Linked DNA regions of Stegostoma tigrinum. The protein of the gene in region 1 interacts with the protein of each later gene in a pairwise test. Links are inferred from orthologs where the notes say so. Each region holds a gene or a part of one and is shown in the gene's direction. Other genes may lie near its edges.

Region 1 (7,487 bases):
GGTGTGAGGGGTAAATTTTTTCATGGAGAAGGTGATGCATGTATGGAATGAGCTACCAGAAAATGGCTCAGTGGTTAGCACTGCTGCATCACAGTACCAGAGACGTGAGTTTGATTCTACCCTCAGGTGACTATCTATGGGGAATTTGCATGTTCTCCCAGTGTCTGCATGGGTTTCCTTTTATAGTCCAAAAATGTCCAGGTTGGGGTCGATTGACCTGACCAGGCCAGGCCCGATTGCCCCACACTGTCCAGGGATGTGCAGACTGGGTGAGTTAGCCATGGGAAAGGCAGCGTTATTGAGGTGGATGTGCTGTTACGAGGGTTCAAGGGGTCGAATGGCCTGCTTCCACACTCTATGAAATGTTTACATAATAGAATCCAAAGGCGGCTGGATGGATACATGAATAGGAAGGGTTTAAGAGGGAATATGGACCAAAAACTGTCCCTGTGGACCAGATTAATTTAGGATACCTGGTTGGTGTGAATTGCACCAAAGGGTCTGTCCGTGTACTCTGACTGTAGCGATTTAGAAGTGCACTTGCAATGCCAAGGCTATGAGATAAGTGAGGTGGTTGTTCCTGAGGAGGTATGAACAGGCGTGATGGGCCAATGCCCACACCCCAATTGCTGTAGCTCTTTAGGGTGGAAGATGAGCTGCTGCGCTCCCTATGGTTCCTGGTCAAGTTTTCTTTTCTCTCTGAAGCTCAGCGTGAGAAGAAAAACAAGTGTCGGTTTTTGGTCGAAAACGCCGGCTTGTGTAGCTCCGGGTCACCTTTCTACTTCTTTTTCACGGACGGAATGGACGCACAATGACGTTAATAATCCAGCGAAATAATAAAATAATCCAGCGATTAATCCGCTCAGGCGTCCTCTTCCTTTCGTGGGGAGATAAAGAGATGAAAATTTCCGTCGAAAAGCGGAGAGGCTGGGGTTAATCTGAGGGTTTCTTTAAAAGGACCTTCTTCTCCCCCCCCCCCCCCTCCCCAACGCCTGAGTTTCTGAGCAGACTATTCCCTGGGTGGGAGGGGCGGGGGCGATTCTGGAATGTTCCGGAACCGTCCGAAGGTTCGAGAGAAGGAACGCGCGGGGTCTCCCGGCCTCCGCTGCAGGACGCTGCCAGGCGGCTGTTTCTTCTTCTCGTCTCGTCCTTTAATAGCCGTCCCGCCGATTTGGTGTTTTTTTTTCTTTATATTTTCTCTCGTTATTCTTCTTCACGTCGCCTTTCGTTTTTATTCATCCCTCCCCCCCCCCCCCCAACAGTCTGGGTTTGGTGGGTGCCTCGGACTGTAGAAAATTCCTTGGGTATTTGGAAATCCTGAGGGGGTTTGGGGAGGTGTGTGTTCGAGTCGCCAAGGCGCCGGGGAAAACACAGCCAGGTGAATTGCTATAGCGCCTTTCCCGCGGCCACTTCCCATCGTACTCCCTCTGGACGCACTCCGTAGGCAGGGCATAGATGGCACGGTCCCACAAGGGGAAGCAGAGGCGGGCGATGGGCGGGGAGAGGGGAAGGAATGGGGGGGGGGGTGGGCAGTGAGAGAAAAATGCAGGGGTGGGGGGGGGAAGGAGGAATAGAGGGTGAGAGAGGGGAATGGGGGCGTGAGGGAGGAATAGAGGTTGAGAGAGGGGAATGGGGGCGTGAGGGAGGAATAGAGGGTGAGAGAGGGGAATGGGGGCATGAGGGAGGAATAGAGGGTAAGAGAGGGGAATGGGGGCATGAGGGAGGAATAGAGGGTGAGAGGGGAATGGAGGGTAGGAGGGGAATGGGGGCGTGAGGGAGGAATAGAGGGTGAGAGAGGGGAATGGGGGTGAGGGGAATAGGAGGGTGAGGGAGGAGTAGAGGGTGAGAGAGGGGAATGGGGGGGTGAGGGAGGAATAGAGGGGGTGAAAGGGGAATGGGGGGTGAGAGGGGAATGGGGGGTGAGGGAGGATTAGAGGGTGAGAGAGGGGAATGGGGGGGTGAGGGAGGAGAATGGGGTGGTGAGGGAGGAATAGAGGGTTCGAGAGGGGAATGGGGGTGAGGGAGGAGTTGGGGGTGAGGGAGGAGTGGGGGGTGAGAGGGGAATAGGGGGGGTGAGGGAGGATTAGAGGGTGAGAGAGGGGAATGGGGTAAGAGAGGGGAATGGGGTGAGGGAGGAGTAGAGGGTGAGAGGGGAATGGGGTGGTGAGGGAGGAGTAGAGAGTGAGAGAGGGGAATGGGGGGTGAGGGAAGGATAGAGGGCGAGAGAGGGGAATGGGGGGGTGAGAGGGATGGGGAAATGGGATTTAGGGAGGGGGTGAGGGGGAATGGGGATGGAGGAATAGAGGGTGAGAGGGAAGGGGGAAATGGGGTTTGCAGAGGGGGTAATGGGAGGTGAGGGGGTATGGAGGAGTGTGGGGGTAAGAGAAGGGGAAGGAGGTGGAAGAGAAAGAGGGTTGGACGGGAGAAGAGGAAATGAGAGCGGGAAGGGGAATAGAGGGAGGGGAAAGATGAGTTGGTAAGAGGAGAGAGGGTATAGCAAGGAGGTATAAGATGGATGGAAAGGGGAACAGAATAGGGGTGGCAGGGAGAAGCTAGAGGCAAGGGAGTAGGAGAGGTTGGAAAGAGGAGGCAGGAAGACAAAATGAATTGGGAGTGGAGAGAACCAAGCGGGTGTTAGAGGAAAGAGTGGAATGTGAGGGGAGGGAAAAAACAGATTATGGAGAGAATCTTTGAGAATTAAAGGGGTTTGAGGGAGGAGAAAAAGGGTGCAGAGACAAAATATGTGGGAGGGGTGTAGTATAGAAAATGACGGTGAAGGGGAGAAATTGGACGATGTAGATAAAGGAGGGGGCAGAAAAGGGTGCATGTGCTTGGGTTAGCAAGGAGAAAGATGCAGCAGGGCACTGTGGCTTGAGGTGGAGTAGAGGGGTAAGTGAGGTGGAGAAAATGGAGAGGTGTCTGGGAGATTGAGATGAAAATTTGTTCAGAGAGTGGATGACGTGTTAGAGAGAAGGCTTTGCTCTTCGTTTAGATGGTGTCCTTAATAGAGCTGTCATGTTCTTTCCAAGAGGGCACTCAGGTCCACAGTTCAATGCCTTAGCTGAATGGTGGCAACTCCGAGAGTGGCACTTCCTGACCTAATGCTAAATTCTGTCCTGGTTTTATTTACAGATTTGGCAATTAGAATTGAGCGTGAGACATCTAGTTCGATGGGTTTCGGGAGGGTGTTTGTGATCAAAAGTCATAGAATTCCTACAGTGTGGAAGAAGGCCATTTGGCCCATCGAATCACACTGACCCCCCCAAACAGCATACTATCCATACTGACCCTTCATCCCTGTGACCCTGCATTTCCCATGGCTAATACACGTAAGCTACATATCCCTGGACACTATTGGGCAATTTACCGTGGCCAATCCACCTAACCTACCCATCTTTGGACTGTGGGACGAAACCAGAGGCACCCAGAAGAAAAAAAGTCACAGAGAATAAGAAAATTCCACACAGTCACCGAAGGTTGGAATTGAAACCGCATCCCTGGCACTGTGAGGCCTCTGTACTAGCCCAGAATCCATAATTCAAGTTTCTCAAATGTCACCGTGAGCTCAAATTTTGGGGTCATACCCTCAGGCAGCAAAAGTTCCATGCACCCACCCCTTGCTGTTCCAAGTCTCTCTCCTGTCTCCTCCCTACTACACTCTGCTCTCACACATCCAATATAATAGGATTGTTATTTAGAGTTGAGGATGTAACTGATACTTCATAAATTTAGTCTATCTTTCTTGCTTCATTCAAAAACTAGGCTGTGGTCCAAAGTTGCACAAACGTTTTTCAGAATGAATGCTAGAATCTGCTGAATATTTCGATTAAGATTCACAGGAGAATCTAGTTTTCTATTTCAAGAAACAGGATGTTATTTATTCAGAAGCAATCCAGTTTTCTGGAATGTTCTCTGCAGACGTTATGGAGTGAGTCCCTTTCCTCCTCTGATAATAAAATGTGAGGCTGGATGAACACAGCAGGCCAAGCAGCATCTCAGGAGCACAAAAGCTGACGTTTCGGGCCTAGACCCTTCATCAGCTCTCTGATGAAGGGTCTAGGCCCGAAACGTCAGCTTTTGTGCTCCTGAGATGCTGCTTGGCCTGCTGTGTTCATCCAGCCTCACATTTTATTATCTTGGAATCTCCAGCATCTGCAGTTCCCATTATCTCTGATACCCTTTCCTCCCCTGTTGTTTCTATCTTTCCTCTTACCCACTCCCTTTCTTTCTCATGATGTGGAGGTCCCATTGTCTTCCCGGAGTGGACAAGATCAGAAATCACACAACACGGGGTTATAGTCCAAGCCGTTTATCTGAAAATTTGCTTTTTCAAGTAAACCTGTCGGACTACATCCTGAGTCATGTGATTTCTGACCTTTTTCAGTCTCACTGTTTCCTTTCCCCTTTATCCCTGTTCTTTCTCTTGTCTACCTTCTTAACCTTCCCTCTGTCCCTTTTCTGTCTCCCTCTTCTTCCTCTAACACCCTTCCTCTTTACCTCTGTCCCCTCTCTCCATAAGACATAGGAGCAGAAGTAGGTATTCAATGAGATAATAATTGATCTTCAACCACTCCCACTGTTCTCTTTTCTTCACCTTCACCCTTTGTCGTCTCTACTTTTCTCTCTTTCACCTCTTTCTTTCGCTCTCCCTCTGTCCTCGCTTTCAACTTCGACCTCTCTCTGTCCTGTCTCCTCTTTACTCGTATCTTTTTATCTCCCTTTATTCTCGCTCCCTTTCATGGTCCTTTTCTTTACCTCTCTTTATGTACCCTTAGCTCCTTCCCTCTGTCAGACTGATTGCCAACTTTCTGCAGACGTGGCAGCAATGTACTGAATGAATGATTGCCCTCTCACTTTCCCCTAAACTTTTATTTGGGAAAGTTCTTTTAGGGGCGGGGCAGAGGTGGGGACAGGGATGTTACCACCAACTTACCAACTTTGATTGGAGAGGGTGAGCTGTCAATCAAGGGCACAGCGTGAGCCCGGATTGGTCCAACAATCGCTTTCAATGTAGCGAGCCAGTTGCGACAACCGCAGACGCGACGGGAAGCGGCGACGGAATAGGGACCGAGGGGGATCCGAAGGATGGGTCTGCTGCTGGGAGTACTCTGTATCCTGCTGGGATCCGTCTGGGTTTCAGCTTCCAGCCCCAAGCCCGTCTCCACAGGTAAGAAAAAAAAGCAGTTGGCGGTGGGGGAGGGCTTGAAATCATGACATTGCCAGCGAGGTCAGGAGGCAGACGCAAAATTCTTGACAATCCCAATTAGAAAGTAACTCGGAAAATCCTGACATTCCCAACTAGACAGAGACTCGGAAAATTCTGACCTTCCCAGTGAGAGGAGGAGTTGGAAAATTCTGAATTTCCTGGTGTGTGTGTGTTGCGGGAGGTGGGAATCGGAAAATCCTGATATTCTCAGTGAGAAAGAGAATCCTAACATTTCCACTTAGAAGCATGGAAAATTCTGACGTTTCCACTAAGAGCGAAACTTTAAAAATCTGAACACTGCCAGTGAGAGAGGGAATCGGAAAATCCTGATATTCTACTTGAGAGAAAATCTTGACATTCCCCGTGAGAGAGAGATTCGCAGAATCCTGACATTCTCAGGACAAGATGCAGATGGAAAACCTGACATTCCCAATGAGCGAGATTCTCGGCGAAACTTGATATTCTGAGCGAGAGAGAGTTGGAAAATCCTGTCATTCTCAGTGAGGGAGACTCGATAAATTCTGACGTTCCCAGAACGACGGAGACTCAAAATACTGATGTTTTCTGAGGTTGGGATGCAGACGGAAAACGTGACAGTCACAGTGAGTGAAAGATTTGGAAAATCTTGATATTCTCAGCGAGTGAGAAAATCTTTACATTCTAAGTGAGAGAGAGAGAGAGTCCTGACATCTCCAATGAGAGAGATGCACTAAAATCCTGACGTTCCCAGAGAAAGAGATAAATCTTGGCATTTTGATTGTGAGGACAAAGCCTGACATTCCCAGAGAAGCAAAAAATCTTAACATTTCCAGTTGGATAGAGAGAGAAAATTCTGATATTCCCACTGAGAAGGAGAGTCCTGACATTCTGAGAGAGATTGGCCTCCAGAAGACAAAGGATCAAAAGTTGTCCAGCCCATAAAATACACTGTGCAATGCAATGAGATCTGATAATACTCAACTCCATTTTCCTGCCTTTTCACCATAACTCTTACTGACTAAAAAAATCTGTTGATCTCAGTCATGAATATGTTTAATGACTCAGCCTCAATAGCCGTCTGTGATAAAGAATTGCACGGATTCACTACCCTCTGAAAGAAGAAATTCTTCTCCATCTCTGTCTTAAGTGTATGACTCTTTATTTTGAGATTATGCCCTCTGGTCCTAGAATCTCTCATAAGGGGAAATAACCTTTCTGCATCTACCTTGTCAAGTTCTGTAAGGACCTTTATGTTTCAATAACATCTCCTGTCAATCTTCTAAATTCCAATGAGTACATGCTTGACTGATTCAACCACTCCTTGTAAGACAGTTTCTTCATACCATATCTTTCCTTTAGATAAGGGGCCCAAAACTGTTTGCGATATTCCAGTTGTGGCCTGACGATTGTCTTGTGTAACTTTAGCAAAGTTTCCCTACTTTGATTCTCCATTCTTTTGAAATAAAGGCCATCTATAATTCCGTTTACCTTCCATTCTGATCATTTAAAATGATTGGTCCTTAAGGGGATTGGTATCATTGCAGGATAGTCAAAAATTCAGGTCCCCACTCTGGACGCTGGGGTACAAAAAATGTCCAAGTTGACATTGGAATATGCTAGTATAGGATTCTGAAGGGGCTCTATAGGCTGAATATTGAGAGGATGTTGACTCGTAGGGGTATCTAGAACTAGGAGGTATAGTTACAAAATAAGGGGTCTCTGGTTTAAGATGGAGATGAGGAGGAAACTCTTCCCTGAGGGTCCTTTGGTAAGTAGAGTTAAGGCCCCAAATGGTTCAGTCATAATCTTGTTGAATGATGAAACAGGCTAGAAGGACTGAATGGCCTACTCCTGCTTCTATTTCTTACGATTTTATGACCTCATTTTGGAGTGCCAGAGCTGAGGGAATGTTATTGCCCTACTGGAGCTGCCGTCTTTTGGGTGAGACAATTAAACAAGGTCCTTGTCTGGCATCGTGTGTAGATCTATAAGCTCTTTTTATTTATTCGCTTGTGGGATGTGAACATTACTGGCTGGCCAGCATTTATTGCCTGTTCCTAGTTGCCCTTGAAGAGGTGGTGGGATGCTGCCTTCTTGAACTACTATAGTCCATGTGCTGTAGATTGACTCACAATGCCCTTTGGAAGAGAATGCCAAGTTTTGACCCAGCGTCAGCGAAGAGACGGCAATATATTTCCAAGTCAAGATTGTGAATGGTTTGGAGGGGAACTTACAGGCACGGGTGTTCCATGTACCTGCTGCCCTTGTCCTTCTAGACGGAAATGATTGTGGTTTGGGAAAG
Region 2 (7,799 bases), on another chromosome or scaffold:
TCCCAATTTAGTATTGTCATGTGGAAATATAATGTTGTGGCTGTTACACATGGCTCAAAGAAAGGCAGGACTACAAGTTAAATATACCAAGATACCAGGTGCTCAGGAAAGGGAAGGATGAAAAGGGGAACAGGTGATGGTACCAACTGAGAAATGCATTGCAAATCTGGAGATAAAGGGTATTCCAGAGAATAAAAGACCACTTGATTTGGCTACAAGATAACAAAGTGTGGGGCTGGATGAACACAGCAGGCCAAGCAGCATCTTACGAGCAACTCTAAGGAACAGAAAAGGTGCAATTCCACTGCTCAGTGTAGCCCATCGGCAACTAGCCAGTGGGAAGACTGCAGGAGGAATGGGAATTTGCAAGGAATTTACAAAGCTAAGCAAGAATCATAGAGTTGTCACAATGTGGGGATTTCAGATCTATAGAATATGGCTGTGTAAAGGGCAGAACAGGGCAAATGTTAAAGGTATAAAGGACTTCACCTCAAGGTGGTGCCAGAGGACCGCAGCACTGCAAATGTTAGATTCTTGTTCAAAACAAGAGTGTGAAGATTACACCAGCCAGTTTAACTTTGGCGCTGACGAAGCTTCTGGGGAAAAAAGAATTCAGGACAACATTAATAGCCACTTGGGCAAATGCAAATATAATTAAGGAATGCCAGCACAGATTGGAAGTACATGGAATAGTGTAGGTTAGATGAGCTTCAGATCGGTATGACAGGTCGGCACAACATCGAGGGCCAAAGGGCCTGAACTGTGCTGTAATGTTCTATGTTCTATTTGTTAAGGGAATATGCTGTTTTACTAACTTCCTGGAGTTGTTTGATGAGGTAGCAGCAAGGATTGATGAAGGTAATGCTATATGTATGGTGTACATGGACATACAATAGTTTGGCATAGTGCCACACAACAGGCTTGTGAACAAAGTCATGGTTGATGGAATAAATAAAGATGCTGTTATCATGGATTTCAAATTGTCTGAGTGACAAGTTACAAAAAGTACTGGTTAATGAATGCTTTTGGGTTGGAAGAAGTGGAGCTGCCCGGGTTCAGTGCTGGTAGCCTTGCTCTTGAAGATATATATTAGCTACCTAGCCTTTGATGCACAGGGTACAAGAACAAAATTTGCATGTCACACAAAACTTGGAAGCATTTTGAACTGTGAGGAGGATACTGTAGAAATTTAAAAGAATGCAAACAAATTGGTGGTATGGACAGACAAGTGGCAGATTAATTTCAGTGCGGACATCCCTGAGGTAATTGAGTTTGGTAGGAAGCACACAGATAGACAGTATAAAGTAAAGAGCATTTGGGAGCAGAGAAAATTTGATGTATATGCGAATAAGACATTGGAACTGGCAAGAGCGCAGTTGAGAAAGCATACAGTATCCTAGGCCTTATTAATTGGAACATGGACTTAAGATTAGGTTGTGTTAGACTTGAAAAAGATAGTGTTTCAGCTGCCACTAGAGTACTGAGTCTAGCTCTTGGAAATACAAGAAGACATTGAAGTGCAGAAAAGATTCAAGAGAATGGGTCCAAGTATGAGGAACCTCAGTTACGTAGATCGACTGGAGAAGGTGCAACTGCTTTTCTTGCAGAAGAGAGAGGAGATTTGATGGCAGTATTCAAATCTTGAGAAATTTGGGCAACATAGAAAAAAGATTATTCCCATTGCTGATTGAGAGCATGAAGGTCCAGAATGAAAGAAATTGAAAAAATAAACAACAGAGATACATATTTTCATTCAGAAGTGGTGTAGGTCACATGAATGTGCTGCCTGAGAATGCATGGGGGCACTTTCAATCAAGGCATTCAACAGAGAGTTGGGTTGAAAAAGGAAGTGAGTGCAGGGGTATGACAAGTGGCTCTAAATGCATGTGTTAAGACTATAGAAATAGGAACAGGAATAGGCATTTGGTCCAACGAGCCTGCTCCAATATTCAATAGGATCATGGCTGATCTGACATTCCTCATGTCAGCTTTTCTGTGTTTTTCCTGTAACCATTGATTACCCGTACTGATCAAGAATCTATCTAAGCCATAAATACATATAAAGACTCTACTCCGTAGCTGTCTGTAGCAAGGAGTTATAAAGACAATTCTTCATAGTTTTAAACTGATGCTGTTTTGTTCTGAGACTATGTCTGCTATGCTAGGCTCTCCCGTGATGGGAAACATCCTCTGAGCATTTATCCTGTCAGTGTCCCTTCATCATCTTATATGTTCCAATGAGATCCCCTCTCATTTTAAACTCCTGTGAGTAGGGTCTCAACCTGTTAAGCCTGTGCTCGGACGACAATGCCTCCATATCAGAGATCATCTTTCTAAACTGTCTCTGTGTCCTCTCTGCCTAAACTGAAATAATACCTATGCTTAAATAAGGGAACAAAATATTCTCAGTATATTAGATGCGTTCTCACCAGTACCTTGTTACAGTTATAATAAGATGTCTCTACTCTTATACTCCAAAACCCATGAAATAAATCCCATCCCTGCTTCCACAACACACAAAAACTGAATAAAAACCAGAAGAACTGCAGATACATCAGGAACAAAAACAAAAGTTGCTGGAAGCTCAGCAGGTCTGGCAGCATCTGTGAAGAAAAAAATCAGAGTTATTGTTTTGGGTCCAGTGACCCTTCCTCAGATGTGTCTTCTGTTTTTGTTGCTGACACAAAAATCTGAAATAGCTAGAAAAGCTCAGCAAGTCTGGCAGCTTCTGCTCTTGACAATTCTGAAGGGTCACTGAACCTGAAATGTTAACTCTGCTTCCTCTCCACAGATGCTATTAGCCCTGCTGAGCTTTTCCTATATTTCTTTTTTTTTCTGATTTCCAGCATCTGCAGTTTTCCAACATTCCATCAGCCTTCCTGATTACCTGCTGCACCGTGTGCCAGCTTTCTGTTTTTCATTTGGACGGTTGTTTTGTGCACGCACACAACAGGTCAAAATGGGCAACTTCTGTAGATGGTAACCATTCTGTGATATAACCAAGTCATGGACTGAGTACAACAAATGCTGGAGGTCTGTAAATGGCCTAGTCTGAAGATGAGATGTTGTTCCCCCTGGTTTGTGCTGTGATTCACTGGAGCACCGCAGCATGCCAAAGACAGACAACTGGGCATGCAAGCAGTCTGTTGTGTTAAAATGACTGGCCACGTACAGACTGGAGTCGATCTGCAAAGCTGTGACCCAGTTTATGTTTACATTGGAGAAACCAAACGCAGACTGAGTGACTGCTTTGCAGAACACCTCCAGTCTCATTATCAGACTAGCCTTATGGACTTAATATTAAGTTCAGCACCTTCAAATTGTGAACAAACTGCTACTCCTAACCTTTCCTTTAGCTTTACTTGTTACATTCTCTGTCACCATGTGCTGTCTCCTCTCTCACCACCTCAGAGGGACAGAGACAACAAGATGTAGAGTTGGATGAACACAGGCCAAGCAGCATCAGAGGAACAGGAAGTCTGACATTTACAGCCTAAACCCTTCTTCAGAAAAACCTTGCCTGCTCTTCTAAATCTGGCAGTTGGACACATCATCGTTCTACAGTTCTCGCATTCTGGTCTCTTAATCTGAACTATCAACGTCTTTTCTCTCTCACGACTCTGCACCTACCTTCGCAACAATAGCATAAATGCTGTCCCTTCCACACTTCACTAGATCTGATGAAGAGCTATCTCGACTTGAAACATTAGTTTGCTCTCTCTCTCTCTCCATGGATGCTGCTTGACCCGCTGCGATCTCCAACATTTGTTGTTGTTGTCAGTACAGATTCCAGCATCAAGAGCAACTCACTCCTACGGGAACTGCAGATGCTGGAGAATCCAAGATAACAAAGTGTGAAGCTGGATGAACACGGCAGGCCAAGCAGCATCTAGGAGCACAAAAGCGGACGTTTCGAGCCTAGACCCTTCACCACAGAAGGCGAGCCCGAAACGTCCGCTTTTGTGCTCCTAGATGCTGCTTCGCCTGCCGTGTTCATCCAGCTTCACACTTTATTACCGACGTGGACTGAGCTCTTTCCACTCCCTCTTGAAAGCAGCACTGGCCCTTTAAATGATGGCAACGCCCCTTCATCCGGCTAGGCCACGCCCCGCGCAGGTTAGGTCCCGCCCCCCTCCACTGCGCAATGACGTCACGGGCCGGGAGCCATGGCTTCCCTGGATGCTGAGGTGAGACAGCCGCTGAGGGAAGGGAATTCCTCTTTCCGATTAAAAAATTGTTATGACTCTTCACTTACATCGGGGGCGCTTAGACTTCTCTTCACCCACCCCGCTCAAATCCCATCCTGGCTTACATCTAAAACCGAGGCTTTTTCGTTTTCCCCTCCCTCGCTCATTGCTGCTCCGTCGGCTCCGAGTCCACGGCGGCCATGGGTCTCGGGCGCTTTGTGAGGCGGAGAGGGGGAAGGAACCAAGTGATTGACAGCCGGGCCCAGGGAACCTGAACAACGCATCGACTCCCCTTGCGTTGGACTGATTGGATGCGTTATGCGCGATTCCGGGCGGAGGTTAGCGGGCGACTGTTCTCTTCACCCTGTATCCTGTGTAGCGCATTGGCTCCCTATTGTTGGCTCGTGGCGGAACGTATTACACAGGGTTAGGGTTGGGCTACGATGATTGACTGTAGAACCCTTTATCCTGTGTGATGTATCCATTCCATTCTCTTGGAGTGTTTGGACATGCGCTATACGAGGTTTGGGGTGGAGAAATATTTGGAACCCTGTAATCTGTGTGATGTAGTGACCTCCCTTTGTTGGTGGCGTAGGAGATATGCGTTATGCAGGCTTCGGCTTGGCCTCGATGTACTGTGTAATTGACTGCCGATCCCCATATCTTGCAGAGTGTATAAACTGCCTCTGATAACGTTGCGGGTTGTCCGTTATCCTAGGTCTGGGGTACGAATCTGGCCGACTGTACAGTTAAGGCATGCTGCCTTGTTGCTGTGCAATTTTTTTTTCTCGGCAGTGTATTTTGATTAACTTGCAAGCCTGCGATTCTGTCCAGTTATTTTCTCTTTAGCTCAATAAAACTCTCTCTTTTATGTCGTTAACAGCACATTCTCGTTTTTTGTTAGCGATTTTAAAATGCTTGAAAACTTACCACATTGACTCGTTCGACTGTACTGCGCACCTCCTTCTGATTCTCTTTACCAATCTTGATGATCGTTTAGGTGAAATGCTGCAATATAAACCGCCTGTCAAAGACATATTAGGTTAAATGCAAGACTGTCCGAGGTAGTTAGCTTGTTAAGTGGACACATGGCCTATTTCTGAGTGGCGGGAGGGAAGTCGGTCAGATTTACCGCTGTTGAGCAGCGAAGGTGTAAGATTTGGTGTCAGAGGAGGACTGAACAGAAGGGTATCTCGGCTATAATGCATTCCCATGTCAAACAGACTGCTTTTATTACTCAAGGCATCGAATACAAGAGCGAAGAGGGTATGATGGAACTATTTATAATGTTAGTTAGACTACAGCTTTTTTCAGTTCTGTTTTGCCACGCCAAAGGAAGTATGTTACTGCATCTAGAGAGGGTGCAGAATGTTGTTTGGGCTGATGTGATTCCACTATGAAGAGATAAGCTGATGTTTTCTTAAAGCAGAGAAAGCTGAAATTGAATTTGATTTGATTTACACAAAGTTGCAGGAGGCAAGATAGATAGGGAGAAAATGCTTCCCCTCTGAAGGATCAAAAGCCAAGGGGCAAAGTTTTAAAGTAGAAGCAGAACGTTTAAACGTCATTTAAGGAAAGCCTTCTTTACTCACAGGATTGTGGATGTCTGGAACACACTGCTTAAAACAATGCTAGAAGCGAGATGTGTTAAGACTTTTGAGAAGTACTTAGATGAAGATAAATATTTTAACACACCATAATGTACAAGGCTGCAGGCAAGATGCTTGAAAATGGGATTAGAGTAGATGGATGTTTGACTGGCACCATAGGCTGAAGACCTTTTTCCCATGCTGTAAAACTTTACAATTCTATATCCAGCCAGACGTTGTTGGTTAAGCGAAGCCAAATCTCCCAGTAGCCCTACAATGTTGACTGAATCAAAACTGCTCATCATTTCAAAGACTTCTGTTAGGTCATCCTACAGCATTTCCTTTCCTGATATGTATACCCACACATTTCTGTTTCTATCTTTAGTAATCTTCTCTGTCACTTCTCCAGTGCCTGATATATTTTTTTCATTATATGGTACCAGAACTCCATACAATACTCTTAAATGTGGTGTAATCAGGTTCAATACTTGTTTAGCATAACTTATCTTTTTAGTTCAAAACTAGGGTCCACACATATAAGACAGTTAGTAATACATCCAGGAGTCACGCGACACCAGGTTGTGGTCCAACAGGTTTATTTAAAATCCCAAGCTTTCAGAGTACAGCTCCTTCATCAAGAAACTGTTGGACTGTAACCTGAAGTTGTGTGACTTCTAATTTTGTCCACCCCAGCCTAATGACTAATAAATTCAGTCGTGAATTCAGGAAGAACTTTTTTTGCCCAGAATGTGGAACTTTGTACCCAGACAGCAATTGACACAATTGACATAGTTTTTTCTTAAAAGGGAACTGGATGACCATAAGAAGAAGAAAGAAAAAGAAGGGTGCAGTGATAAGGTGGGATGAAGAGGGTTGTGTGGAGCTTTAGCTAGATGGACTGATCTGCCCGTTTCTTTACAATCCCAGAATTGAGTAATCAATTGAAGGCAACACTTTTTATTTGTCAGAGAAAAGAGTGGTCCAGCAGCTGCTGTTCCTTGGCTTGTGTTGTAAACTTTTCAGTGTCTAGTGGTGTAGGATAGGTTTTTTTGCTCAAAACAGAGAAGACACTGTTTCTCTTTGGTGTGTTGGGTCACTTCCCTATCTGTACTGTTCCCCTCCTTGTGCCTCCAGCTCAGCCCCCTGTGACACTATTCCAACAGAAAGCAGGGATATATGGAATGCAAAAGGAGGGAGTGATTTTGAAATAAAAAGCAGAGCCTGAGAGAAAGAGGTTTAGCATTCTTCTGGAGTGCAATCTCCTCAACCTCATGAGACCCTTCCTGTCTTGCTGTGAGGAGTTGGGGTGGGTGGATTTGTTGGAGATGTTGAGGTAGGATCATCAAATTGATACATTTCCCCTGGAACATTGTGAGTTATTTTGCTTTCCTTTCACAGGTGGTGGCTAACAGCCCAGTTGAAGCTACAGCAGAACCAGAACTCCTGGTGCTTGACACGAGCCCTAGCTGTGAACTAGTCCAAGGTAAGATTACAGATTCAAGACAGCAGTTGTTCTGTCAGCAAAGGACACAGCAACACAGAGTAGAGTGTAGAGAGAGAGAAGACATGGCGATCTGGTTCTGGAAGTCTCCATGGGGCTAGGGTCGCTGACCATTACAGTGGTAGGGAGAGACTCCATCCTGTGTGGTGTCTTGGGATCTTTTGTCACTTTCCTAGTTGGGTCAAAAGACAGAGTTGTAGCGGATGGAATTTAATGTGGGAAAATGGAAAGTCAGTGAGATTGGATGGAAGCGTGGTGAGTCTGTATGAAGTGGCAACCTACCCAATGTCAAATAACAGGACAGAGAGCTAGGATTATATCATGCTGTTGAAATGATTTCGGTAGACTGTAGCTGAGCCTTTTCAGATAATGAATCAAACCCAGATCCCTGGTGCTGTGTGACAGCAGTGGTTACACCTCAGCCACCGTGCTGCTCATGTATTCAGTGTTGGGGAAGTACAGCAGTGCAAGAGATAAGGCTGATACATTTGCATTTACCTTCAGCCAGAAGTTCGAACTGGC
Region 3 (7,538 bases), on another chromosome or scaffold:
GCTAATTTAAGTTATTTCACATGATATCAAGAAATGGCTAAAGGCATTGGATACTGAAAAGATTATGGGCCATGTCCACATTCCAGCAACAGTACATAAGACTTACAACAGTAACATCTACTCTACTCAGTGATCTACTCTAAATCATCAAACTGGTGGAAAGAGTCATTGGTAGTGTTGTCAAGTGGTATTTGATCAGCAAAATTCATACATTCAGGGCCACTCAGATCTTGACCTTATTTGGGCCAAGACTATAACTTGAACAACCCAACTGAATGCCAGAGATGAGGTGACAATGAATGGCTTTGAACCATGGTAACATTTGACAAGAATATAGCATCAAGGAGCCCTAGCAAAGCTGAACTGAATGGGAATCAGGGGAAAGCCTCTCCAATAGTTGAGTCATACCTGGCACAAAGGAAGATAAAGTCAGAAGTCACATGACACCAGGTAATAGTCCAACAGGTTTCAGGATTATCACCTGTCATGTGACTTCTGACTTTGTCCACCCAGTCCAACACGAGCACCTCCACATCATGGTGACCAAGAGTGTTACACAATGTGAGCAAAGTGTCAACAACTGAATAACAATTGAAGCTATGACCTATAATCTGATTACTCATTTAGCCTGTCTCCAGCATCACCTTTTTTTTTGTTTCTTGTAATTATTTCTCTGCCTCACTTAATCAGATTATAGGTCCTTCACTTGTTATTCGGCTGTTGATACTTTACTCACAGCTGCAGCGACCTAATATTCCTTACTCCACTCACACCAGTTGCATGGACTTTTGATCTCTCTACCTGTAAATTCTGTGTCTGTGTGTTCTTCTTGCTCACTTGACCTGATGAAAGTGCTGTGCTCTGGAAGCTTGTGATCTCAAATGAACCTGTTGGACTATAACCTGGTGCTGTGTGACATCTGACTTTGTCCAGCCTAGTCCAACACCAGCACCTACCAACAAAGGAAGATGGTTGTAGTCTCTGGAGTTCAATCTTCGTCCCAGAGCAGGCTCCTCATGGGAGCATCCTAGGCCCAATTTTCTTTATATGTTTCATCAACGACTTTCTCTCCAACATATGGTCAAAGTGAGGATATTTATCGATGATAGCAAAATATTCTGCACCATTCACAACTCCTCACACATGCAGTGCAAGTCCGTATGCAGCTAGACCTGGGCAACATCCATGCTTGGAGTGCTAAGCAGCAAGTAACATTTACTCCTACCTCTCTGATGAAGGGTCTAGGCCCGAAATGTCAGCTTTTGTGCTCCTGAGATGCTGCTTGGCCTGCTGCGTTCATCCAGCTTCACACTTTGTTATCAGTAACATTTACTGCACACCATTGTCATTGCTTGACAATCTCTTTTAAAAAAGAATGTAACCATGATCCCTTGACATTCAATGGCATTACCATTGAAACATCCCCACTATCAACTGGTTGTTAGCATTGCTCAGAAGCAGGGACATAAATACTGTGGTTTCAAGAGCAGGACGAGACCGAGGAATTCTATAGTGAATAACTGATCTCGTCTCCCCAAAGTGGTCAAGATGCTCAACATCTCCAGGACAAAACAGGCCACTTGATTGTCATCTCATTCGTCATTCTTCAACACTGAAGCATAGTGACAGCGGCACAGCATGTACCATCGACAAGACGTACAGCAGCAACTCACTCAAACTCCTTCATCAATGCCTTTCTAAACTTTGGCTCTATTGCACTGAAGGACAATGGCAGATGATGTGTGGGAACAGGCCACCTGCAAGTTACTCGCCAAGCCACTCATCATTCTAGGAGATAATGGGAACTGCAGATGCTGGAGAATTCCAAGATAATAAAAGGTGAGGCTGGATGAACACAGCAGGTCGAGCAGCATCTCAGGAGCACAAAAGCTGACGTTTCAGGCCTAGACCCTTCATCAGAGAGGGGGATGGGGTGAGGGTTCTGGAATAAATAGGGAGAGAGGGGGAGGCGGACCGAAGATGGAGAGTAAAGAAGATAGGTGGAGAGAGTATAGGTGGGGAGGTAGGGAGGGGATAGGTCAGTCCAGGGAAGATGGACAGGTCAAGGAGGTGGGATGAGGTTAGTAGGTAGATGGGGGTGCGGCTTGGGGTGGGAGGAAGGGATGGGTGAGGGGAAGAACAGGTTAGGGAGGCAGAGACAGGTTGGACTGGTTTTGGGATGCAGTGGGTGGAGGGGAAGAGCTGGGCTGGTTGTGTGGTGCAGTGGGGGGAGGGGACGAACTGGGCTGGTTTAGGGATGCAGTGGGGGAAGGGGAGATTTTGAAACTGGTGAAGTCCACATTGATACCATTAGGCCGCAGGGTTCCCAGGCGGAATATGAGTTGCTGTTCCTGCAGCCTTCGGGTGGCATCATTGTGGCACTGCAGGAGGCCCATGATGGACATGTCATCTAAAGAATGGGAGGGGGAGTGGAAATGGTTTGCGACTGGGAGGTGCAGTTGTTTGTTGCGAACTGAGGGGAGGTGTTCTGCAAAGCAGTTTCCAAGCCTCCGCTTGGTTTCCCCAATGTCGAGGAAGCCACACTGGGTACAGTGGATGCAGTATACCACATTGGCAGATGTGCAGGTGAACCTCTGCTTAATGTGGAATGTCATCTTGGGGCCTGGGATAGGGGTGAGGGAGGAGGTGTGGGGGCAAGTGTAGCATTTCCTGTGGTTGCAGGGGAAGGTGCCGGGTGTGGTGGGGTTGGAGGGCAGTGTGGAGCGAACAAGGGAGTCACGGAGAGAGGGGTCTCTCCGGAAAGCAGACGGGGGGGAGATGGAAAAATGTCTTGGGTGGTGGGGTCGGATTGTTGCTATTCCTTCAATATCATTGGACCAAAATCTCAAGTGATAACGGGAACTGCAGAATCCAAGATAATAAAGTGTGAAGCTGGATGAACACAGCAGGCCAAGCAGCATCTCAGGAGCACATCCTCTGATGAAGGGTCTAGGCCCAAAATGTCAGCTTTTGTGCTCCTGAGATGCTGCTTGGCCTGCTGTGTTCATCCAGCTTCACATTTTATTATCTTGGACCAAAATCTCAAAACTGCCTTCTTGACAACAACAGGTTAAGACAGCATCTCATCACCACCTGCTGAAGAACAATTAGAGATTGGCAATAAATGCTGGTCTAGCCAGCGAAGCCAACAGCATTTTACTGAGCACTTAGCAATCACACAATAAAAAGTGTCCCTTTAAATTGCAGTGGCCTGCATGTAAGACATCTCGAACCAAACATAATTAGTTTGCAAGCAAACTGAACCAGTCAAAACTAAACTGTGACCATACATTCTTTGCCCAGCCAGTCACTACTTAACTGCTCAGACATTGCATCCCTCTCCACCCATGATATCAGGTGCTATTGCCTAAAATTAACTTTTTCAGATATTGATTTCACTTGCATCATTTAGCCCACCAAATCACGTAGTTAACAAAGAAGGCAGCTGAATCACAACACCAATATTCTGTAGAGATTAGAAATTTGAGCTCTTGTAGCACTGCAGCGGTGTTCCTACTCCCAAATGTTATGTGTCGTAACACCTCTGAACAGGTTGATTTGAAAATACCTAGCAATTAGATGCTTTGGTCTCAGTTGCACTGAACAGGCATTACGTTCACACAGAATTCTCACATGCGGAAGCAAGCCATTCAACGTAGCGAGTTCACACCGGCCCGCCCTATATTCAATAACAATTAATTAGAGTTCAGTCACCCTTGCTCCAAACCCACCATTCAACTATCCATCCCAAACTTTTAAACCCCGGAATTATGTCTTTTTTTTCCCTCCTCTTCGATTCCCTTGTCTCGCATTTCTGCTTTTTCTATGCCCTTTCCTTCGTTATTCTTGCTCTCTCCTCTCCCCATTGATGTTGCCGGATATATTCTGCCTGACCTACAAAATGTTCCTAGCACTTGTTTTGGTTTTAACTCAGCACTCATAACATTTTGCTCATTTCCCTGCTCAGCGAGCAACAACACGAACAGACGCACACGCAAGCTGACAGGGGAACGGAGGAGACCGCCGGTACCGCGCAGCCGCACGCATGCTAGGTAGGCTGGGGAGGAGGGAAGATGCCGGTAGCGCGCAGACGCATACGGAGGGGAATGAGGGTTGGTTATGGGGCTGTGTGCTGGAAGAGAGAAGCCGGTACCGCGCAGTCGTACAGGAAAGGTGTGGGTGAGGGAAAGTCTCTCGGACCGCGCAGTCGTACAGGAAAGGTGTGGGTGAGGGAAAGTCTCTCGGACCGCGCAGCCGTGGAGAAAGGTGGGGATAGGATGAAGAAGAAACAGTTGCTATTGCGCAGCTGCAGCAGGCAGACGGAGGGGATGGTGAAATGAGCGAGAAGAAACAGTCGCTGTTGCGCAGCCGTGGTGGCTTGGTGCAAGTGTTCAAGCAGAGAGGTAAACGGTGAAAACAGGTGGAGGAAAGTTGAGCTGGGTTGGGTCGAAAGATACGGCGTCTGAGGTGAACGGAGGAGGAGGGAAGGTGGAAAATAAAAACCCATCGAGTCACCGACAGTGGACTTTTTCTTGTCGGTTTGAGGTGAAAGCTTATTGTTTGGCAGGCGTCAGGTGAGAAAATAGTTGTGACGTTAAATGAAACCTTATGTTTCTACCTGAGGAGTCCTGGGCAGTATCTGCCGGGACCCTGTAAATACAACTCTCTCTCCTTCCTCCTGCATCCAGGACGCTCCGCAAGACCAACGGTTTTAACGGCTCGACATTTCATTATTTTCCACTTGAGTTCATGAAAGGGGAAGTGGCGGGTTCTGATTTTTTTTTGTGTGAATGGACCGAGTTGCCGGCCGCCGGCAGTTGGACCTTGTTGATTCACCCCTTTAAGGAGAAGGAAGGCTTTACCTCCGAGCCCTCCCGGCCTAGTTACAGCGGTGAAACCCGCACTGCTGCATGTCTCTGCGGATGGAGACTCGTCTATAATCGTGCATCAGGTTGAACGATCGTTTTGTTTTTAAATGTATAAAATCCAGACACTTCTTCTCCGGGGCTGTTCTCTGCACCCACAATTTGATGATATTAGACACTGATGAGATAAGATAATGCAGTTAATCCTGCAACGGGTTTGCAGTTAAACGCGAAAGAGAATTCTGGGGTTTTCCGAATCTTATCATACATTGAGTTACTTGAGTGATTTAAACATCGTTTTCTTTATTGTATATATTTTATAATTAAAGCGAATTCCGCTTACTTCTCTGTAAAAACATTAACCAACTGCGGTAATTTTATAGGCAGTCACCATTCTCATGTTAGCGCGAAATGAGTATAGCATGAACAGTATGTAGTTATTTTGTGCAGCTGACAAGACACGTTGGACTTTAGGTTTCTGGTTCATCTACAACATGTTCGTTGCCGAATTGTTCGGATGATCAGATCGAAAATTGCAGTCCTGCGTTCGCTCCCATACAGTGCAGTTGTAGTTCATTACGTGTCCTTGTATGCCCCGAGGAATCCCTGGTGGCGAGTTTTATAACATTATTTTGCTGACAAGCCATCAGGCTTCCTGAAGCTACTCAGTATTGTATGCTATCGTCATCATCCTTTATCACAATAATCCTGTTTATTGCCATTTTTTAACTCGTGATGGATGTGTTAGAATAAGTATGTAATCGGATTTTCATCTGACGATAATGAAAAGAAAGCTTAAGTGATGTATGTGAACACTGAATATTGTAAAGCCTTTTGTCTTTGTATGCAATAGGTATGTCTATACATAAAATTGTGGAAATAATATATGCTACTATGTATCAGATTAGTGTAGAAATTATCTAGCAGGTTTGGAAAATGGTATTTTGGCTTATTCCAGTGGTGCCAATAGCAGTGATGAGATTATCGCAATTTCAAAGTCAGCTGTTTTACATTTAAAACTGAGTAGAGGAGTCATTTAATCTGCGGGTCGTTTTGCTGTCTTGGGGGGGGGGGGAAAGATTCTTAAAACAGGGTTTTCATCTTTTCAATGCTGAGTTAGATGAACGTTTGACTTGTTAGGAGACTGTAAAATTCTGGGGGCAGGCAGAAAATTGGAGTTGAAGCCCTGATTCGATCAACTGTGATCTTGCGTTCCATTCAATTCAAACCATAGCATTAAAATTGTGCTGCCTGGTTCTAGAAAACATTTTCAGGATCTGCCCCATAAAGCGCAAAAATGTTTTAGTTGGGTATACTCTTACTCTTAATACCAATTGGTATATCTCGCTAAATATTTTCTCTCCGCAACTCCATTGTGCCATGAAGCAGCATAGTAAATTTTTCTGAGCTGACTTCAATGCAAGTACAAAACTAAGACCAAAACTGTACAGGATAATCCAAGAGTCTTGCTAATGTACAGTTATAGTAAGATTTCCTTATGTTTACACTGCAGTCTCCGTTCTTAGTAATAAAGGTAAATGTTCCATTGCCTTCCTACTGGGAAATGTACAAAGCTACTACCTTTCAAGCTGTAAGATATATATTACTGACATGGAAATTTAAATATTGTTCTTCTTTGTAGTTGTTCAAAAATATTTTTATAATGTCATTGTTCAAAATTGTCTTCATCCTATGTTGGAACAGCTGGTGTGAGACATGTTTAAAATATTACCAAGTCTGTCACTGTTTTACAAACATGTCTGAAAAGGGGCAGCTATAACTTTGAGGAAAAATACAACTTCTCCCTTTTGGATGATTTTAATCGATTGTCTTTTGAATTATATTGGCAGTGTATCTTATTCTACTAACTACTTTTTGGTTAGTAACTTGATTACTACAACAGAGAGAGAGAGAGAGAGAGACCAAGCCATGGACTCAACCCTTTGGTATCAGTGTATTATCAGCGGGCTTGTTTTACCGTTAGACTTAACTATGACAGTGTTCTCCTGATTAATCTCCCATCTTTAACTTTTTATGTCTAAAACATAAGCTTGCCTGAAATTTTGCACCTGGTCTTGTATTTCAATTTCAACATTCTTGTCTGTTTTCAGAGTTTTCTATTTGTCTCTCCTCTTCCTTTGTTCCTTTCCTTTACTGTCATGTCTCTGAATTACTCTAGTTTTGTCTTTTTGACATCTTTGATTGCTGTACTATTGACTTCCTTAGTCCAATGCTCTGGTATATAGTCCCTGTGCACTCCGTTCTTCTGTCCCTTCATCTTTAAAGCATTCCTTTTAAAACTGATATCCTTGACCAAACATCTCTTCATCTGCTCTCTATTAGCTCCTTGTGGCTCCATGTCAAATTGTTTCATAAAGCTAATTTGCAGCTGTGCTTTTTGAGGTTTGAGCATTAAATATGCTTATTAAGTGTAGTTGTTTTGATAAAACTGAAACCAGAAAGAGAGAGAATCTAAATTACATCTTGCTGCTGATAATGGAATTGCAGTTGTATATTGTCATTATCTTCACCCAGTCCCTTTTAATGAACAGCTAACAACTAAAAATTGCCAACACTGTCGCACTCCTAACTTGCAGTATTGCAGTTTTACTGGTTTAGCTTCAGTTGCCTATTCCTAGCCATTTGCCATTTGAACGTACTTATCAGCTAGTG
Region 4 (8,322 bases), on another chromosome or scaffold:
CTTTGTCACAATTCCAAAACCTCACTACTGATGTGTTTCTCCTCTCTAATATAGTCTTAAGGTTCAGGGTGACTGTTGCAACTTTCTACATGTTATTCAATTCCCATCAAAGTTTCTGATAAATATTTCTTCATAAATGTTGCTTAGTGCCGCATTCAAAACTTGCCACCTTTGTCCTGTCTTCACTTCTTTGTTGTTTAAACATTTCAACCATAGCTTTTATAACACACTATCTCCATTAAATTACAATCCTGTCCAGTCTCCCATCCTGCAGAAACTTGGGCTCAATCAAAACTCTGTTATCAGTATCTTATCCCACGATAAGATTTGTTCTGGCTCACAAATCACCCTGTCCTTGATAACACACATTGAATCTTTCACCAGTGTCTAATATAAAATTCTCATCTTCATTTTTAAATAACGTCAACAACTTTCTCCAGTTCTATAACTAGCGATACATGTTCATTCATCCAATAACTCTGCATTCTAGCAGCTGTATCCAAATGATGTCTCTTCTGTATTAGCAGGTAAACACTACAATAAGCAACGAGCTGCAAAATGGTAGAAAACTGAAACAAATTATTGGCGAAACTCACTTCTGATGCAGTCACTTACTCTGGGAAGTATTGGACTGATTAAGAAGTGCGAGGGTCGAAACATTAACTCTGCTTTTTTTCCCCTCCCCAACAGATGCTGCCTGACCTGCTGAGTTTCACCACCATTTTTTTTTAAAGCAGATACACAGTACACCCAGGTTTGTATACTTCCACCTTCCTTTTAAATCCTCATTAACTGCCACTCTTCGAGCTCTTCTGTTCTCTTCCCTTGCTGAGAATTCTTGGGACAATTTCAGGTTAGAGGCGCTATGCAAATAGTTGCTCCAAACTTTTTATTAGTTTTAATCTCAGCTATCGATGGGAGGTAGGAGCAATGTATTATTTGCTTCAGCAGCAAGTCAGGTAAAAACGGAATCTGGAGGCATGAGCAAGAGCCGGATAATTTGGAAGAGGATGCAGCGACTGCCAATTAATACGGATGGAGACTATAACAAAATATGAACCATCAAGACCCAAGGAATGAGTGATAATGGGAACTGCAGATGCTGGAGAATCCAAAATATTGAAATGTGAGGCTGGATGAACACAACAGGCCCAGCAGCATCTCAGGAGCACAAATGCTGATGTTTCGGGCCTAGACCCTTCATCAGAGAGGGGGATGGGGTGAGGGTTCTGGAATAAATAGGGAGAGAGGGGGAGGCGGACCGAAGTTGGAGAGAAAAGAAGATAGGTGGAGAGGAGAGTATAGATGGGGAGGTAGGGAGGGGACAGGTCAGTCCAGGGAAGACGGACAGGTCAAGGAGGTGGGATGAGGTTAGTAGGTAGGAGATGGAGGTGCGGCTTGGGGTGGGAGGAAGGGATGGGTGAGAGGAAGAACAGGTGAGGGAGGCAGAGACAAGTTGGACTGGTTTTGGGATGCAGTGGGTGGAGGGGAAGAGCTGGGCTGGTTGTGTGGTGCAGTGGGGGGAGGGGACGAACTGGGCTGGTTTTGGGATGCAGTGGGGGAAGGGGAGATTTTGAAGCTGGTGAAGTCCACATTGATACCATTGGGCTGCAGGGTTCCCAAGCAGAATATGAGTTGCTGTTCCTGCAACCTTCGGGTGGCATCATTGTGGCAGTGCAGGAGGCCCATGATGGACATGTCATCTAAAGAATGGGAGGGGGAGTGGAAATGGTTTGCGACTGGGAGGTGCAGTTGTTTATTGCAAACCGAGCGGAGGTGTTCTGCAAAGCGGTCCCCAAGCCTCCGCTTGGTTTCCCCAATGTAGAGGAAGCCACACTGGGTACAGTGGATGCAGTATACCACATTGGCAGATGTGCAGGTGAATCTCTGCTTAATGTGGAAAGTCATCTTGGGGCCTGGGATAGGGGTGAGGGAGGAGGTGTGGGGGCAAGTGTAGCATTTCCTACGTTGCAGGGGAAGGTGCCGGGTGTGGTGGGGTTGGAGGGCAGTGTGGAGCGAACAAGGGAGTCACGGAGAGAGTGGTCTCTCCAGAAAGCAGACAGGGGTGGGGATGGAAAAATGTCTTGGGTGATGGGGTCGTGATTGTAGATGGCGGAAGTGTCGGAGGATGATGCGTTGTATCCGGAGGTTGGTGGGGTGGTGTGTGAGAACGAGGGGGATCCTCTTTGGGCGGTTGTGGTGGGGGCAGGGTGTGAGGGATGTGTTGCGGGAAATGCGGGAGACGCGGTCAAGGGCGTTCTCGACCACTGTGGGTGGAAAGTTGCGGTCCTTGAAGAACTTGGACATCTGGGATATGCGGGAGTGGACTTCCTACAGACTAAGGGGGTGGCCATGGGCCCCAGCTATGCCTGCCTCTTTGTAGGTTACGTGGAACAGTCCCTCTTCCGCACCTACACAGGCCCCAAACCCCACCTCTTCCTCTGTTACATTGATGACTTTATCGGCGCCGCCTCTTGCTCCCCAGAGGAGCTCGAACAGTTCATCCACTTCACCAACACCTTCCACCCCAACCTTCAGTTCACCTGGGCCATCTCCAGCACATCCCTCACCTTCCTGGACCTCTCAGTCTCCATCTCAGGCAACCAGCTTGTAACTGATGTCCATTTCAAGCCCACCGACTCCCACAGCTACCTAGAATACACCTCCTCCCACCCACCCTCCTGCAAAAATTCCATCCCCTATTCCCAATTCCTCCGCCGCCACCACATCTGCTCCCACGATGAGGCATTCCACTCCCGCACATCCCAGATGTCCAAGTTCTTCAAGGACTGCAACTTTCCACCCACAGTGGTCGAGAATGCCCTTGATCGCGTCTCCCGCATTTCCCGCAACACATCCCTCACACCCCGCCCCCACCACAACCGCCCAAAGAGGATCCCCCTTGTTCTCACACACCACCCCACCAACCTCCGGATACAACGCATCATCCTCCAACACTTCTGCCATCTACAATCTGACCCCACCACCCAAGACATTTTTCCATCCCCACCCCTGCCTGCTTTCTGGAGAGACCACTCTCTCCGCGACTCCCTTGTTCGCTCCACACTGCCCTCCAACCCCACCACACCCGGCACCTTCCCCTGCAACCGCAGGAAATGCTACACTTGTCCCCACAACTCCTCCCTCACCCCTATCCCAGGCCCCAAGATGACTTTCCACATTAAGCAGAGGTTCACCTGTACATCTGACAATGTGGTATAACTGTATCCATTGTACCCAGTGTGGCTTCCTCTACATTGGGGAAACCAAGTGGAGGCTTGGGGACCGCTTTGCAGAACACCTCCGCTCGGTTTGCAATAAACAACTGCACCTCCCAGTCGCAAACCATTTCCACTCCCCCTCCCATTCTTTAGATGACATGTTCATCATGGGCCTCCTGCAGTGCCACAATGATGCCACCCGAAGGTTGCAGGAACAGCAACTCATATTCCGCTTGGGAACCCTGCAGCCCAATGGTATCAATGTGGACTTCACCAGCTTCAAAATCTCCCCTTCCCCCACTGCATCCCAAAACCAGCCCAGTTTGTCCCCTGATAATAAAATGTGAGGCTGGATGAACACAGCAGGCCAAGCAGCATCTCAGGAGCACAAAAGCTGACGTTTCGGGCCTAGACCCTTCATCAGAGAGGGGGATGGGGAGAGGGAACTGGAATAAATAGGGAGAGAGGGGGAGGCGGACCGAAGATGGAGAGTAAAGAAGATAGGTGGAAAGAGTATAGGTGGGGAGGTAGGGAGCGGATAGGTCAGTCCAGGGAAGACGGACAGGTCAAGGAGGTGGGATGAGGTTAGTAGGTAGATGGGGGTGCGGCTTGGGGTGGGAGGAAGGGATGGGTGAGAGAAAGAACCAGTTAGGGAGGCAGAGACAGGTTGGACTGGTTTTGGGATGCAGTGGGTGGGGGGGAAGAGCTGGGCTGGTTGTGTGGTGCAGTGGGGGGAGGGGACGAACTGGGCTGGTTTGGGGATGCAGTAGGGGAAGGGGAGATTTTGAAACTGGCGAAGTCCACATTGATACAATTAGGCTGCAGGGCTCCCAGGCGGAATATGAGTTCTATTCCTGCAATCTTCGGGTGGCATCATTGTGGCAGTGCAGGAGGCCCATGATGGACATGTCATCTAGAGAATGGGAGGGAGAGGGAACCATTTCCACTCCCCCTCCCATTCTCTAGATGACATGTCCATCATGGGCCTCCTGCAGTGCCACAATGATGCCACCCGAAGGTTGCAGGAACAGCAAATCATATTCCGCCTGGGAACCCTGCAGCCATATGGTATCAATGTGGACTTCACCAGTTTCAAAATCTCCCCTTCCCCTACTGCATCCCCAAACCAGCCCAGTTCATCCCCTCCCCCCACTGCACCACACAACCAGCCCAGCTCTTCCCCCCCACCCACTGCACCACACAACCAGCCCAGCTCTTCCCCCCCACCCACTGCATCCCAAAACCAATCCAACCTGTCTCTGCCTCCCTAACCTGTTCTTCCTCTCACCCATCCCTTCCTCCCACCACAAGCCGCACCCCCAGCTACCTACTAACCTCATCCCACCTCCTTGACCTGTCCGTCTTCCCTGGATTGACCTATCCTCTCCCTACCTCCCCACCTATACTCTCCTCTCCACCTATCTTCTTTTCTCTCCATCTTCGGTCCGCCTCCCCCTCTCTCCCTATTTATTCCAGAACCCTCTCCCCATCCCCCTCTCTGATGAAGGGTCTAGGCCCGAAACGTCAGTTTTTGCGCTCCTGAGATGCTGCTTGGCCTGCTGTGTTCATCCAGCCTCACATTTCGTTATCTAAGACCCAAGGAATGACGGCCGCTGACCTTCTCAAGATGGCGAACTATTTCTTGTCGTGTTTGTCGAATGCATCACACATTCGAATTTAGGAAAAACAACAACGGATTGAATGGAAGTCGGTGCAAGCAAAAATGTGAAACTGGGACAGAAGGGTTCACCGCGCAAGAATCTGCCAAAAAAAGTTTTTTTTTGTTGAAGCCCTTCTTTTAATGGCGGAATGTACGGCCCAGCATAGCGACGTCACTGTCACCGAGGCAACGGAGACTCAAACATAGAGAAGAGCCTGGAGCAGAGGAAACATGACTTTACCACTCTTACCTGGGAACACATTCAACAAGAATGTGAGTAACTTCTCTGCAAGTAATAAAAATCGACACATTTAAGAAACTGTTTTCTCTTTCAAAATTGACTTCAACACCAACCTTTGAGGAAACCCCGGGGAGTAAATGTTTGCTTGTTTGTAACTCATTTTTTAAACAAAAATTTCCATACTGTTAACATTCAACATTGTTATTCCTACTTTCTGTGCACGAGTAGTAAATACTTCCTGCAGGGTTTTGGCTAGTTGGCACAACACTGTATGAGATTGTCAGGGTGGTCACAGTTGCGTCTTAATGTTTAGAGGGAACCACTGCACTGACAATGATTGAAAATACCACTAATAAAAGGCCTGGAATATTCTCAGGGCTGGTGGTGCACTGGTTTCTTTGTTTGGAGATGATCACACCAAACTATCCAGCTGCCTACAGAAGAGATGAGTAGAGTGAACACTGGGTTGGATAGGTGTTCTGTTTGATATATGAAAACTGTCATTCAAAAGATGTCATCCATTGGAATTCCCACTTCCAATGGGTTCATGTCTGCACTTCTTGCAGTTTTATAACATTGAGTGATTGTTGAAAGATGCTTCCATCATTTTACAGGAAATTCCCCAAGTGACCACCAACAACAAAGCCCGCTCCAGCAATTCCTCCTTTTGGCCTCAAGTGCTAAACTTAGAGTGCTGTTAAATTGGCCTCTTGCACCCAAGACAGTCCTCCCTTCCTCCTTCTGTCTCATGCCTTGTACAGCCTTCACTCTGCTGACCTTACTAACTTCAATCTTTAATCTCTGTTAAAGATCTGCTTTTCTTTCAGCCCAAAAACATGGAGACTGAAAGTCTTGTCACAGTTAGCCCTGTTGCTTCAGCCTTTATTTTCAGGTATGAACATCTTGCACCTTGCTGTCAGTAAGTCTTAACATGTGCAATCCTGTCCCTGTGGAAACCACGTAGGCTTGTTGTCAAACAGAATACAAAACAGATCACATTACCAATTTACCTTAAACTATGGAGATGGTTTAAAACAATATTCTAAAATCTTGGAGATAGTAAGAACTGCCGATGTTGAATTCAGAGATAATCGTGTGGATCTGGAGGAGCACAGCAGACCAGGCAATGTCAGAGGAGCAGGAAAGTTGACGTTTTGGATCAGGACCTTTCTTCTAAAATCTTGCATTTGTACCAAAGCCACCATCTGAGTTGGAACTGTATGACTAATCCTTCACTGTCAGGAATTCTAAATCTTGTAACTCCCTTCCTAACAGTACTGTGAGTGCAGACAAGATGGATTCAGCAATTTAAAATGTGGCTCACCAGCACCTTCACGAAAGCAATCCAGGATGAGCAACAAATGCTGGCCTTGCTGGCTCACACCCTATAAACAAATCTATTTTTGAAGAAAGGGGCAAGCTCACCTTTATAAAGCAGGTTTACTTATGGATTTGAAAATGTGACTTGTGATACTAGGTGCACTTTTATCCTAAAAAAAATTGAGTAAACATAACTTTCTAAAACAACAGAAAAAGTGCAATTTTTTGAAGTTCTTTCTTCAGCCTAAATGACCTATTTATATTTTCTTTGGGTGTCTCAATGCCCAAGGATCACCAATTTATGTTAATAATTGTGTTTCTGATTGTCAGGGCAGAGTTTCAGACGGAAGCCGTTTCATACTGCCTTTATGCAAGTGTCCAAAACCCTCTAATTATTTGAGTTCATCAACGTTAAAATTTTACTAGGTGATTTTTTTTATTATAGAAGGAAAAAAGGTAGAGGTGTAAAATGTGATACTATGATAATTTTGTGTATCACTATCAAATCTATATGAAACAGATTTGAAGATGATTTTGCATTTAAATTGCTGAACTGCATTTTAGTTTGTATTTGAGCATTCTCTTTGAAGGTTTGTACTTATTCTATCTTTAGAAGGAGTTGCTTTAATATTCTGTTTGGTCGATTCAAAGTGTTGTATTAACAGCAGGTGGTAGAATTAACTACTATGAAATTGAGCACATTTTTAAAAGACTTACAAGTGACTACAAAACTATTCTGCTACTGCTGCTGTTACAGAACTGAAGACCCGAAACCATTGCTTCTGTTTCTAATATTTCTCCCACCACCCCCCTTTTATTTTTCTCTTTACTTCTTCTAGATTCTTTAATGTTATCATGCCTTCATTCATTTCTTCTCTTAGGCAATCTATCTTCCCCAATCGCTGCCCAAGTCATCAGGAATCTTCCATCTATTGTCCCATGCATGCTCCATATCTAATAAACCTACAGCTTCCCTCCATGCCCCTCTTGTCATATCTGATGGGTCTATCAAGGCACATTTCTAGGTAGTTAGAAAAATTTTCGATTTGAGTTAAAAAGGAGGTCATGTGGATGAAGTCACATCAAAGATACCCTCCATTCTGTTGTTAGGCACTAACACTTAAATAGGATGGACTTGAACAGATCAAGCAGCTCTGTAATGTGAGTAGAATTGTAATTAACCGCAATCTGTAATTTCATTGCCTGGCAAAGTTCTACTCTACCACAACGATCATACCTAAAAATAAGGTTTCAGCCTGGTGAAGTGACAACACAGGTACAGCTACAACATTGGCATCTACCCAGCAATGTGGAGCATTGCCCAGTTATATCCTGTGCAAAAAAAGCAGGAAAATCCAATCCCGCCAATACTGCCCTAGCAGTCTACTCTCCATCATTAGTAAAATGGTGAAATCAGTGACCGTACTATCAAGTGGCACTTGCTTGACAATTACCTGCTATTGATGTTCAGTTTGAGTTCTGCCAGGTCCATTTGGCTCCTGACCTCATTACAGCCTTGGTCTAAACATGGATCGAAGAACTGATCTCCTTAGGTGAAGTGAGTGACTGCCTTGATGTCAAGGCAGGATTTGACCAAGTATGGCACCCAGGAACCCCAATAAAGCTGCAGTCAGAGGAAAAACTGTTACACTTGGCACAAAGGAAAATGGTTGTGGTTGTTGGAGATTAGTCACCTGAGTTCAAGGACATTTCCACAGAAGTTCCTCAGGATAGTATCCTAAGTCTAAGCGCCTATGCCATTTTATTAATAACATTCCATGAAAAGGTCAGAATTGGGGATATTTGCTGATGAGTGTACAATGTTCAACATGATTTGGGACACCACAGATACTGAAATAGTCCATGTCCAAATGCAGCAA

What was found.
Region 2: the proteins of multifunctional procollagen lysine hydroxylase and glycosyltransferase LH3-like (region 1) and ehmt2 interact in binary tests that used the Homo sapiens proteins (3 or more experiments, as listed by UniProt). The two-hybrid records come from large-scale screens. The link is inferred for Stegostoma tigrinum from reciprocal best matches to the Homo sapiens genes PLOD3 and EHMT2.
Region 3: the proteins of multifunctional procollagen lysine hydroxylase and glycosyltransferase LH3-like (region 1) and rab3ip interact in binary tests that used the Homo sapiens proteins (3 or more experiments, as listed by UniProt). The link is inferred for Stegostoma tigrinum from reciprocal best matches to the Homo sapiens genes PLOD3 and RAB3IP.
Region 4: the proteins of multifunctional procollagen lysine hydroxylase and glycosyltransferase LH3-like (region 1) and efhc2 interact in binary tests that used the Homo sapiens proteins (3 or more experiments, as listed by UniProt). The link is inferred for Stegostoma tigrinum from reciprocal best matches to the Homo sapiens genes PLOD3 and EFHC2.

The regions. Positions count from the first base shown.
Region 1 is NC_081398.1:8,547,695-8,555,181, forward strand, and holds the start of multifunctional procollagen lysine hydroxylase and glycosyltransferase LH3-like, read left to right. Parts: upstream 1-4,147; 5' UTR 4,148-5,085; coding exon 5,086-5,167; intron 5,168-7,487. UniProt on the Homo sapiens protein: Multifunctional enzyme that catalyzes a series of essential post-translational modifications on Lys residues in procollagen. Plays a redundant role in catalyzing the formation of hydroxylysine residues in -Xaa-Lys-Gly- sequences in collagens.
Region 2 is NC_081387.1:20,687,355-20,695,153, reverse strand, and holds the start of ehmt2 (histone-lysine N-methyltransferase EHMT2), read left to right. Parts: upstream 1-4,468; 5' UTR 4,469-4,498; coding exon 4,499-4,525; intron 4,526-7,174; coding exon 7,175-7,259; intron 7,260-7,799. UniProt on the Homo sapiens protein: Histone methyltransferase that specifically mono- and dimethylates 'Lys-9' of histone H3 (H3K9me1 and H3K9me2, respectively) in euchromatin.
Region 3 is NC_081371.1:45,501,012-45,508,549, reverse strand, and holds the start of rab3ip (rab-3A-interacting protein), read left to right. Parts: upstream 1-4,172; 5' UTR 4,173-4,403; exon of another isoform or gene 4,404-4,574; intron 4,575-4,833; exon of another isoform or gene 4,834-4,951; intron 4,952-7,538. UniProt on the Homo sapiens protein: Guanine nucleotide exchange factor (GEF) which may activate RAB8A and RAB8B. Promotes the exchange of GDP to GTP, converting inactive GDP-bound Rab proteins into their active GTP-bound form.
Region 4 is NC_081365.1:42,802,793-42,811,114, forward strand, and holds the start of efhc2 (EF-hand domain-containing family member C2), read left to right. Parts: upstream 1-5,037; 5' UTR 5,038-5,112; coding exon 5,113-5,154; intron 5,155-8,322. UniProt on the Homo sapiens protein: Microtubule inner protein (MIP) part of the dynein-decorated doublet microtubules (DMTs) in cilia axoneme, which is required for motile cilia beating.